Linked DNA regions of Xenopus tropicalis. The protein of the gene in region 1 purifies or fractionates together with the protein of each later gene. This does not show direct contact. Links are inferred from orthologs where the notes say so. Each region holds a gene or a part of one and is shown in the gene's direction. Other genes may lie near its edges. The genes, in order: fip1l1, p4ha2 and cpsf1.

Region 1 (3,652 bases):
GCATCCTCCAATTTATAATTCATGTTTAAAGCTTAACTGCAGTAAAAAACTCCACATGTACCTCCTCTACAACCCCATGCCCTTAACGGCCCTGCTCCTTCCCTGCACCACCTGTTCCTCTGACAAGTGTTACTATCTTTTTATTTGTTTTCAAAATTCAGAGTTGTGCAGTGGTGTTAACAGGCACCTACCTGGACCTGGTTTCAACTGCGCATGCTCTGTCAGCAGTTGCACAAGTGGTGTGAGATGGTGCCTGTTAGACCTGCTGCACAGCTTGTCATGGGAACAGGTAGTGTGGGGAAGGGGGCCTTGAGACCTTTGTTTTAGCACTACATGACATGAGCATAAAAAGAAAGAATAAACTCTTCAAAGCAAGGAAACCAATTGCCAGAGTTTTGACCTTTAAGTGGTTGTAAAGTAAAAAAATAGAAGTCTTGTTTGCAGGTTCCATTAAAAAAATAAAACTATACTTTGTAAACATTCATTAATAAAAATTTGTACCGTTATAGAAAAAAAAAAAAAAGTTCTACCTACAGCCCCTCCCCACAATATCCTTTGCTCCACTTGTCTACCCAATGCATAAATGTTTAGATGGCAACTGGCTGCACATCTCTGAAAACCATCAGATGTTTTGTATTCTGGATGTCAGGAAAGTAGTGCAGGGTTGTTTTATGTGTTTGCTTCTCACTCACACTGCTTTCCTGTCATCAAAAACAATCCTGCACACTGCTTTCCTGCCATCCTGAACATGGAGTAGTTTTATAGCATTCCAGCAGCTCTTTAAAGATTTATAGGTTGAGTAATCAGAGGTAGTGAGAGCTTTATTTGTTAAAGAGGAAACTGTAAACAGACTATTCATTTTTGTCTTACAACCCTTTTAATTGTATCCCTTTATGCTGTAAAAAATAAGGCATTTGTAAGTATAACTACCAGTGTTTACCCCCTTTAATTGATGGCTGTATTTTGAAGGGATACTGTCATGGTTTTTATGGTATACCTTTTTATTTCTATCAAATAATTTACTGTACCATTTTCAAATTTCTTGAATTTCTTGAACCAACAAATGTATTTTTTTAGTTGAAATATTGATGTGTAGGTACCATCTCAGTGCATTGTGCCTGAGACTGAGCTTTCAGAAGGAGCCAGCGCTACACATTAGAACTGCTTTCAGGTAACCTATTGTTTCTCCTACTCCCATGTAACTGGAGGAGTCCCAAGCTGGACTTGGATTTCTTAGTATTGAGTGAATGAAGTTTATAAAAGCCCAGGTCACATGCCTGTGGCACCCTGGGAAATGAAAAATATGGCTAGCCCCATGTGAAATTTCAAAATAAAATGTAAAAAAAAAATCTGTATTTTTGAAAAACTGATTTCAATGCAGGATTCTGCTGGAGAATCTTTCCCGTGACAGTATTCCTTTAATTCACACAGAAATTCCACAGTAAGTGGAGGGCACACTAGTAAACAGCACAAAAATATAGAAATTTCTTGATGTTTTCTGTAAAGAGATTTCCTTTTGGCAATAACTCAGATTGGAGATCTTTTTGAGTGCAGACCCATTTCATGAAAATTGTATTTTGGTTCACTGCCTGGTGTTCCCCTGTGCAATCACTTGCTTAGCTGAATATTGCTGTTTTGGTTGAAAACTTAAAGGGGATATTAACGCTAGCAACTAGGCAGTGGGGTTACTAGGTATGCTGAACAATAAGAGAAGAAAACAATGCTAATGAACAACAAATTGCACATTCTAGGGATGGGTGTCTTAGGTGATATACCTTGAGCATTCTTACATGAGCAAATACCAAAGGCTTTGTGTTTCTTTTTGTGCAGAAGAAAATGAAGCTGCTGCACCAGATGATGATGAAGAAGACATAACAAGGTTTGTAGAGTTTGTATTGCTTCTGTGGAGAGGTTTTTAGATATCTAGGTTTCAGGTGTCCCTCTTTGTACTGCAAGAATATAGATATGCACAGCTACCATCATAAGTTAGCCTGCTTTAGTTTAGTGTTAAGGATGGGATAAAACATTTAATTTAAAAGTTTGCCCTATTCATTTACTTGAAGTTTAAGTATTTTATTTAATCCACAGCTCTCACCCTGTACCTGGAATCGAAGCAGAGGCTACTGAGAATGGTGTTGTGAAAACGGTAACATTCCAGTTATTGTTACTATAGAGAAGGGATATTGAACTTGTGTGAAGTATGTCTCCCAGGATTCTTGAATTGTACTTTTTTTACAGCTGTTCTACAATAGAGAATATGACATTAAAATGATGTATTAAAATGCACATTTAACTTTGTTTGTTTTACATGGTACAATAAAAACATTTATTTAATGGGTTAAAATTTTGTGCATAATTTGTTGAATTTCTGTTTTTGTAAATGGTTCTTTGTTTAGTAGCTGGTGGGTTTACTGGAGCTTTGTTATCCTTTTGTAATATTGTCATATAACCTAATAGCAGACTATCTCTTGTTAACTTTCATGGGAATTGCCTTATGCCTTTTTATGCCAGGCTTCAGGGGGCTCTCCAACTGAAAGGTGCTGCTATGACTATCAGTCTTAAATTAGCAAGTTGTTGGCACTTGGAGTAACTGACATACAAGGGTTTTAAACCCCCAAAATTTAATTGATGTACAGTTACTCAGGGTAATGCAATTTGCATTGATTTTCTATTTTGAGATTTTAATTTTAAGACTTCTAATACCAGGCTTTTGTCTTAACAGAGGCTCCACAGCCCCAAGGGTTAACGGAATATAGAAAGTGCATAGACAGGGTTGCTTACACTCAGGGCTTCAAAATATATATATAACCGGTAAAATCTTAAAACCTCTAAAAATAGAAAATTAATATAAATCGCAGAAGTGCTCAGAGGGCTACTTTTAGTATGTTCACAAATATTCATTTTTAGTTTAGTTCCCATTTCACAGCTTCCAAACCACACGGGCATCAGAAGCATTTGCTCTCCTATGTATGTGTATATAATGCAATCTAATCCCAAAAGTAGTTTGCAGATTTGCCTGCTTTCTTTGCTCACTATTCCAGCAACTGTTTTGTCTGTCTTCCCCATTCTAAGAGCACCCCCGGAGGAAATATCATTCACACTTGTGCTGGCTGAGGTAACCCCCATTGAGCCCCAGTTTAATAACTTATTAATAAAGATGAAACTGCCCTGACCCAGACTGTAGCTACCATATGCCAGCACAAAACAGCATGTACTTGTCGGACTCCAGGACAGTGGATAAAATTTTTTATTTAAGATAAAAACCTTTAGCTACCATATGGTTATAAATTTGCATAATGTTCAGTAACTTCTAGCAACCAATTGGCAGGTAGCAGTTTAAAAAAAAAACAAAAAAACATCTAATTGCTTTCTATTATTACTATACTCCCAAACAGGCTCCCCCCACCTACATGACCTCATTCTAATTTAAATGTATCACATGGTATAACTGAAACAGTGATAGTGGAAGAGCCCTGGAAATGAGAAGTGTTGCATATGACAAATATTTTTGTCTTTTTCACTTTTCCCCTTCTAGGGTAAGAGCTGGTACATTTTCTGTGCTTGACCTATCATTCTTGCATTACTTATAGTAGGAATATCAAAATACAAAGTATTTAAATTTGTCTGAAAACTATGTATGATGTTGTGTAAA
Region 2 (3,652 bases), on another chromosome or scaffold:
TGTAGTTGAAGTCACCCAGTGACAAACAGTGCGCACCCTGGCTTAAATAGTGTGAGAATGGCAGCATTTTAAATTTAATTCAGTAAAATTCAGTGGATGAAATCTCATTGGCTGTTTCCTATTTTTAAACTGCGGTCCCCCAGTGACCAACTTTGCAAAGTTTGGGGACTCAGGCATACAAATTGTGGGACTGACAGCATTTTACACTTCACCATTGAAAGTAAATAGGTGAAATGTGATTGGCTGTTGGTGGCTCCGTCCATTTTTTTTCTAAATTTGAATGGCAAATACCTAGTGACTAACTTTGGAAAGTTTAACAACCCTGGAATTAATCTAAAATAATGGCATCAGTTTAAATATAAACCAATGAAATTTAATGGGTGGAAATGGATTGGCTGTTGGTGGCTCCGCCCACTTTTTCTAGTTCTGAAATAAATAGCATGAGAAAGGCAGCATTTTAAATTTAAACCAAAAATCCAATAGGTGAAGTCTGATTGGCTGTTAGTGGCTCCACCCACTTTTTAAAACCTAAAAATGCAGTCCCCTAGTAACCCTGGTGTTAATACTGTGAGAATGGCAGCAGGTTGAATTTCCCCAATGAAAATCAATAGTTAAAATCTGATTGGCTGTTGGTGGCTCCACCCACCTTTTCTAACTCTGAACCACAGTTATCTGGTGACTAGCTCTGCAAAGTTTGGGGACCTTAGTATTAATATTTTAAGAATGGCAGCAGTTTAAATGTAAATGTATGAAGTCTATAGTTGAAATCTGATTGGCTGTTGTTGGCCCCTCCCACTTTTCTAAGCTTGGAACGTACTTACCCAGTGACAAACTGTGCAAAGTTTGGGAACCCTGACATTAAACATGTGAGAATGGCAGCAGTTAAAATTTCCCCACTGAAAACAATGAAAGAAATGTGATTGGCTTTTGGTGGCCCCACCCACTTTTTCTAACCTTGAGTTCGTAATCACCCAGTGACTGACTGTGCAAAGCTTGGGAACCCTGCATCAAACCAATAAAATTTAATAGGTGAAATCTGATTGGCTGTTGGTGGCTCCACCCACTTTTTCAAAGCTGCAGTACCCTAGTGACCAACTAGGAAAAGTTTGGGGACCCTGGTGTTAATACTGTGAGAATGGCAGCAGGTTGCATTTCTGCAAAGTCAATAGGTAAAATCTGATTGGCTGTTCACAGCTCCGCCCACTTTAGGGCATCAAACAATCATCATATTTTCATTCAGGCTGACCCCATGACTATGTGATTCATGTTTGGGGAGTGTAGCCTATGTTTGTGCCCTTGGGCTTACTACATGTAATTATAGACCTATATGCAAGCACATATATTACTGGATTGTTTACCTTGTCTGTTTGCTAATTGGTTTATCTTTTATACTGCTTTTACAGAATCCACGAAGGCAAAGGAGACTTTTCTGTAGGTATCATAACGGAAACAGAAGTCCTTACCTTATCTTGAGTCCAGTTAAAGTGGAAGACGAATGGGATAGTCCACGTATTGTCAGATATCTTAATGCCTTATCTGATGAAGAAATTGCGAAAATAAAGGAACTGGCAAAACCAAAGGTAACTCATTTACTATTTGCTATAGAGATTTCCTTGTAGAAATTGTGAATTTTAAATTTGCCGTAGTCTAAGCAAGAAGTAAACTACTTAAGTGCTTTTTCCCAAACTGATCATTGTGCAAAGTGTGGAGCCCTTAACTGAACATTTGGGGTACCAAAATAAAGTCTAATTTTATTGCAGTCTGTCTTTTTTTTAACCAAACTGTCCTGAAAGCCAAAGATCCCCTTAAGGACAAAATGTATCTGCATATACATTTGTTTAATTTTACAGGGCTGTGGAGTCGGTAGATAAATTCTCCGACTCCTCAGTTTCTGATACTTCCGACTCCGACTCCTCTGTTTTTAATATGCTAATGTATTTTATACATTCATACAGTCAATGAAAAGCATGCTTCATGGTCACTCGTGTTCGTTTATGCACTGCGTGCATTGGGCTTTATTCTTATAGCAGAGAAGTAATTAATTATGACTGTTTGTGAATTGGGACATTTAAACTTGCTTTATTTATTTTTTTTTTATTCCCATTTAAACTTAGTAGGAGTCGGAGTCGGTTCATTTTTTGCCGACTCCGACTCCAGGTACCCAAAATTGCCTCCGACTCCTCGACTCCGACTCCACAGCCCTGTAATTTTATTCCGTATAGCCATACCTCCGCAGTGCACTAGTTTGACATAGTTAGGTCAGTATGATTAGTTGATCAGTTTTCTGCCAGTCAAGAATATGCTTTTATTTTAATTGTTCAGATCTATCCATTAGCCACCACATATATGCACCCTGCACACAGTCAAAATTAGGTTTATGCAAAGTTAATTGCAGATCTTCCTGTATATAAACACTAGGTCTATTTTTAGCCTAATTAAAGTGTGTTACATACTTGTTGGCCAGTGCATGGAGCGGTGACAGATGAGGAACTGAAGAGGATCTTATGAACATCCTATTTATTTCTTGCTATTCTGATCAGTCCTGCTCTCTGCACAAATGGTTGGTATAATATTGATAACAATAGAAAATCATCCATACTGTGTGTTGCCACTTATACACACACTGTCTTTTTGGCTGATATTGCTTGTATAACCTTAATTGAAGTCAGGCCTTTGAGTTAATGAGATTGGTGGTTGCACTGCTCTAGAAAAAAAAGGCTTTTTGAGACATGAGACATTCCTATGTCAAAAGTAATATCAGACAATCTTAGACAAAGAATTGTAGAGAGGCGGAAAACTGGAAAATGCTACTAATGCATCTCTAAAGGTCTGGGTCATCAACCCACAGCAGGATAAATTGTCTATAAATAGAGAACATTCAGTACATTTTAAACTCTCCCTAGGAGTCTTATAAAGATCATGGCAAAAGTACAACATGCGATTCTGAAGGAAGTGAAATAGGGCAACAGCAAATAAGCTGCAGAAATCTCTCTATTCTCCTTAAATAAAGTTTGCATTCATGTGTCCACCATAGAAAAACCCTAAACCAAAATATTTTATTGACTTAATGAGAAGAAAACTAAAGCCCTGGAATGGCCATTTACATAACCTAACCCAATTGGGACGCTCTACTATGATTTCAAGAGAGCTATTGATGATGGAATACCAGAAATATTAAAATGCTGAAACAGATTTGTAAAGAGCGGGGGTTCCCAACCTTTTTTATCTGTGAGCCACATTCAAATGTAAAAAGTGTTGTCAAGCATAAAATGTACCTGGGGGTACCAAATAGGGATTTTGATTTAGTTATCTGGTAGCCCCTATGACTGGTAGTCTACAGTAGACTAGACTATGTTAGGCAGTACATCTGTTTTTTATGCAACCAAAACTTGCCTTCAAGCCAGAAATGTAAAATAGGCACCTTTTTTGAGGCCACTGAGCAACATGTCAGCAGCTAGTAAAGGTTATTATACCTAAAGGTAGTTCTTATAGTTAGAACAAGGTACTTATTTAGTTCTGGACTAAAAGCTTTGGTTGTTTGTGTGTTCTAACCTAAAGTGGGAGTGTTTGTCTATGTTGTGACAGACCACAAATCTTTTAGTTATAACTGCAAAAACCAAGTGATCCCTAAGGTTTTAAAACATGTAATAGC
Region 3 (3,652 bases), on another chromosome or scaffold:
TGTCCTTCATCTAGTCTTCTGCCTTCTTGTACAGCCCTGTCTGTGATTGGCTGCCTCCTTAACTCCTCCCACCCTCCATCCCTTCTCTATAACTCCTCCCATCCTTCCATCCCTTCTCTATAACTCCTCCCGCCCTCCCACCTTCCATTGCTTCTCTGACTCCTCCGGCCCTCCCTTCCCTGTGACTCCTCCCACCCTCCATCCCTTCTCTCTGACTCCTCCCACCCTCCATCCCTTCTCTCTGACTCCTCCCACCCTCCATCCCTTCTCCATTACTCCTCCCTCACTCCTTTATTACTCCTCCCTCCTTTCTCTGTGACTCCTCCCACCCTCCCTTCTCTATGACTCCTCCCTCCCTTCTCTGTGACTCCTGTTCCAGTGTTTGCACAGTTGCCCCTCCTGCTCTCATTGTTGACTTGCAGCTGGTTGCCATGGGTTACTGCCCCGCCCCCTCACCTGGTCTCTGTGCTGTTTCAGACGAGCGCTACATCTCACCTGTGCAGGAAGCATTTTCAATTCAGCTGATTTCCCCGCTGAGATGGGAAACGATCCCCAACACCAGGTATTGTCCCCCCCCCCCCGGGCTGCTGTACAGTGTCATTCTATTGGCTATCATTGCTCTCAATTCTTGGCCCCTCCCTTCTCTCGTGGGGCTTTAGTTCCAGCCCTGACTGTGGGTTGGACAGAAGAGCTCACACTCTGCTCTCGGTTTCAGGATAGACCTGGAGGAGTGGGAACACGCCACATGTATGAAAACCGTGAGCCTGAAAAGTGAGGAGACGGTGTCGGGGCTGAAGGGGTACATTGCTGTGGGTACCTGCCTCATGCAGGGGGAGGAGGTGACCTGTAGGGGGAGGGTAAGTAGCAGGGAGAATATCTTCTATTCCTTGCCCCCTCTATCCTGCTTATACCCATGCCTCCTCCCTCCCCTCCCTTCCTCCTCCCTCCCTTCCTCCCCGCCTCCTCCCTCCCCGCCTCCTCCCTCCCCACCTCCTCCCTTCCCACCTCCCCGCCTCCTCCCTTACCACCTCCCCGCCTCCTCCCTTCCCACCTCCCCGCCTCCTCCCTTCCCACCTCCCCGCCTCCTCCCTCCCTCCCTCCCCGCCTCCTCCCTTCCCGCCTCCCCGCCTCCTCCCTTCCCACCTCCCCGCCTCCTCCCTTCCCACCTCCTTGCTTCCTTCCTCCCCGTCTCCTCCCTCCCTTCCTCCCCGCCTCCTCCCTTCCCACCTCCTTGCTTCCTTCCTCCCCGCCTCCTCCCTCCCTTCCTCCCCGCCTCCTCCCTTCCCACCTCCTTGCTTCCTTCCTCCCGCCTCCTCCCTCCCTTCCTCCCCGCCTCCTCCCTCCCTTCCTCCCCGCCTCCTCCCTTCCCACCTCCTTGCTTCCTTCCTCCCCGCCTCCTCCCTCCCTTCCTCCCCGCCTCCTCCCTTCCACCTCCTTGCTTCCTTCCTCCCCGCCTCCTCCCTCCCCGCCTCCTCCCTTCCCACCTCCCCGCCTCCTCCCTTCCCACCTCCCCGCCTCCTCCCTTCCCACCTCCCCGCCTCCTCCCTCCCTCCTTCCTCGCTGCCTCTTTGCTTAGCCCCCCCGTTCCCTCCCCCCTCACAGTGGAACTTCCTGCCCCCCCAGATTCTCATTATGGATATAATTGAAGTGGTTCCGGAGCCGGGGCAGCCGCTCACAAAGAACAAGTTCAAGGTTCTGTATGAAAAGGAGCAGAAAGGACCAGTCACCGCCCTGTGTCACTGCAACGGGTATTTAGTGACTGCAATAGGGCAGAAGGTAAGTCAAGAAGGGGCAGAATCCCCCAAATAGGATCTGGCTCTGTAGAGAGGCACAGGAGTGGGCGGGGCTCACACTGGTTGGCTGTGCCAGTAGAGAGGCACAGGAGTGGGCAGGGCTGACACTGGCTGGCTGTGCCAGTAGAGAGGCACTGGAGTGGGAGGGGCTCACCCTGGTTGGCTGTGCCAGTAGAGAGGCACAGGAGTGGGCGGGGCTGACACTGGTTGGCTGTGCCAGTAGAGAGGCACAGGAGTGGGCGGGGCTGACACTGGTTGGCTGTGCCAGTAGAGAGGCACAGGAGTGGGCGGGGCTGACACTGGTTGGCTGTGCCAGTAGAGAGGCACAGGAGTGGGCGGGGCTGACACTGGTTGGCTGTGCCAGTAGAGAGGCACAGGAGTGGGCGGGGCTGACACTGGTTGGCTGTGCCAGTAGAGAGGCACAGGAGTGGGCAGGGCTGACACTGGTTGGCTGTGCCAGTGGAGAGGCACAGGAGTGGGCGGGGCTGACACTGGTTGGCTGTGCCAGTAGAGAGGCACAGGAGTGGGCGGGGCTGACAGTGCTTTGTGTTGGCAGATCTTCCTGTGGAGCCTAAAGGACAACGACCTGACGGGAATGGCGTTCATAGACACTCAGCTCTACATCCATCAGATGATCAGCGTCAAGAACTTCATCCTGGCGGCGGATCTAATGAAGAGCATCTCGTTACTGCGCTACCAGGAGGAGAGCAAGACCCTGTCCCTCGTTAGCAGGGTGAGTTACGCCTGGCTGCCAGTAATGGGGCACTTACCCCTGGGGCAAACGGGGCAACTCAGCCAATCATAGAGGCGCATCCCTGCTCTGTAGGGAAACTGCCCTGGGTTGGTACCCACAGGGACTCGGGGGTAACATGTTGCTCCCAGTGCCCCCAGAGCAGGGGCTTAGTTTGAATTGATAAGGAGGCATTAAGGGCATGGGTGCCTCCCATAGGCTGCCTGTACATATAGGGGCTCCCACATAGCCAATCACAGCCCTTAGTGGCACCCCAGGTACCTCATGCTTGTCTTGCGCCCCAACTTCTGTTTCTATAATTCAGTGTTAGAGGTTACAAGGGTTGGGGGGCAGTAACTGAGACCAATGATATGGGTGCGGCTCCCTGACTGCCCCATAACCATCATTATTGCCCCTAAACCATCATTATTGCCCCTACACCATCATTATTGCCCCATAACCATCATTATTGCCCCATAACCATCATTATTGCCCCATAACCATCATTATTGCCCCATAACCATCATTATTGCCCCGGCAGGATGTGAAGCCGCTGGAAGTTTACAGTGTGGAGTTTCTTGTGGATAATAACCAGCTCGGCTTCCTGGGTGAGTACAACCTGCACCCCCTTGTCTGGCCCATATTCTTCTCTCTCCCCCGAGGGGTCTCTAATCCTTATGTTCTGCCTTTCAGTTTCAGATCGGGACAGAAACCTTATCTTGTACATGTACCTTCCTGCAGGTAAGTGCCCCTGTGTGCCGCCCTACTCCCCTTCCCTTGCCCCTGTGTGCCGCCCTACTCCCCTTCCCTTGCCCCTGTGTGCCGCCCTACTCCCCTCCCCTTGCCCCTGTGTGCCGCCCTACTCCCCTCCCCTTCCCTTGCCCCTGTGTGCCGCCCTACTCCCCTTCCCTTCCCTTGCCCCTGTGTGCCGCCCTACTCCCCTCCCCTTCCCTTGCCCCTGTGTGCCGCCCTACTCCCCTCCCCTTCCCTTGCCCCTGTGTGCCGCCCTACTCCCCTCCCCTTCCCTTGCCCCTGTGTGCCGCCCTACTCCCCTTCCCTTGCCCCTGTGTGCCCCTCCTGCCCCGCGCTACACACAGGGGGTAACTCGGTGTTTGCCCCCCCAGCTAAG

Evidence for each region.
Region 2: the proteins of fip1l1 (region 1) and p4ha2 purify together in Homo sapiens (co-immunoprecipitation; 3 studies listed by BioGRID and IntAct, with this or other methods). This does not show direct contact. The link is inferred for Xenopus tropicalis from reciprocal best matches to the Homo sapiens genes FIP1L1 and P4HA2.
Region 3: the proteins of fip1l1 (region 1) and cpsf1 fractionate together in Homo sapiens (co-fractionation; 8 studies listed by BioGRID and IntAct, with this or other methods). This does not show direct contact. The link is inferred for Xenopus tropicalis from reciprocal best matches to the Homo sapiens genes FIP1L1 and CPSF1.

Annotation. Positions count from the first base shown.
Region 1 is NC_030677.2:39,662,022-39,665,673, forward strand, and holds part of fip1l1 (pre-mRNA 3'-end-processing factor FIP1), read left to right. Parts: intron 1-1,830; coding exon 1,831-1,879; intron 1,880-2,088; coding exon 2,089-2,146; intron 2,147-3,652.
Region 2 is NC_030679.2:36,754,434-36,758,085, forward strand, and holds part of p4ha2 (prolyl 4-hydroxylase subunit alpha-2 precursor), read left to right. Parts: intron 1-1,403; coding exon 1,404-1,580; intron 1,581-3,652. UniProt on the Homo sapiens protein: Catalyzes the post-translational formation of 4-hydroxyproline in -Xaa-Pro-Gly- sequences in collagens and other proteins.
Region 3 is NC_030682.2:153,938,565-153,942,216, reverse strand, and holds part of cpsf1 (cleavage and polyadenylation specificity factor subunit 1), read left to right. Parts: intron 1-477; coding exon 478-562; intron 563-715; coding exon 716-857; intron 858-1,623; coding exon 1,624-1,776; intron 1,777-2,349; coding exon 2,350-2,526; intron 2,527-3,064; coding exon 3,065-3,131; intron 3,132-3,216; coding exon 3,217-3,264; intron 3,265-3,647; coding exon 3,648-3,652. UniProt on the Homo sapiens protein: Component of the cleavage and polyadenylation specificity factor (CPSF) complex that plays a key role in pre-mRNA 3'-end formation, recognizing the AAUAAA signal sequence and interacting with poly(A) polymerase and other factors to bring about cleavage and poly(A) addition.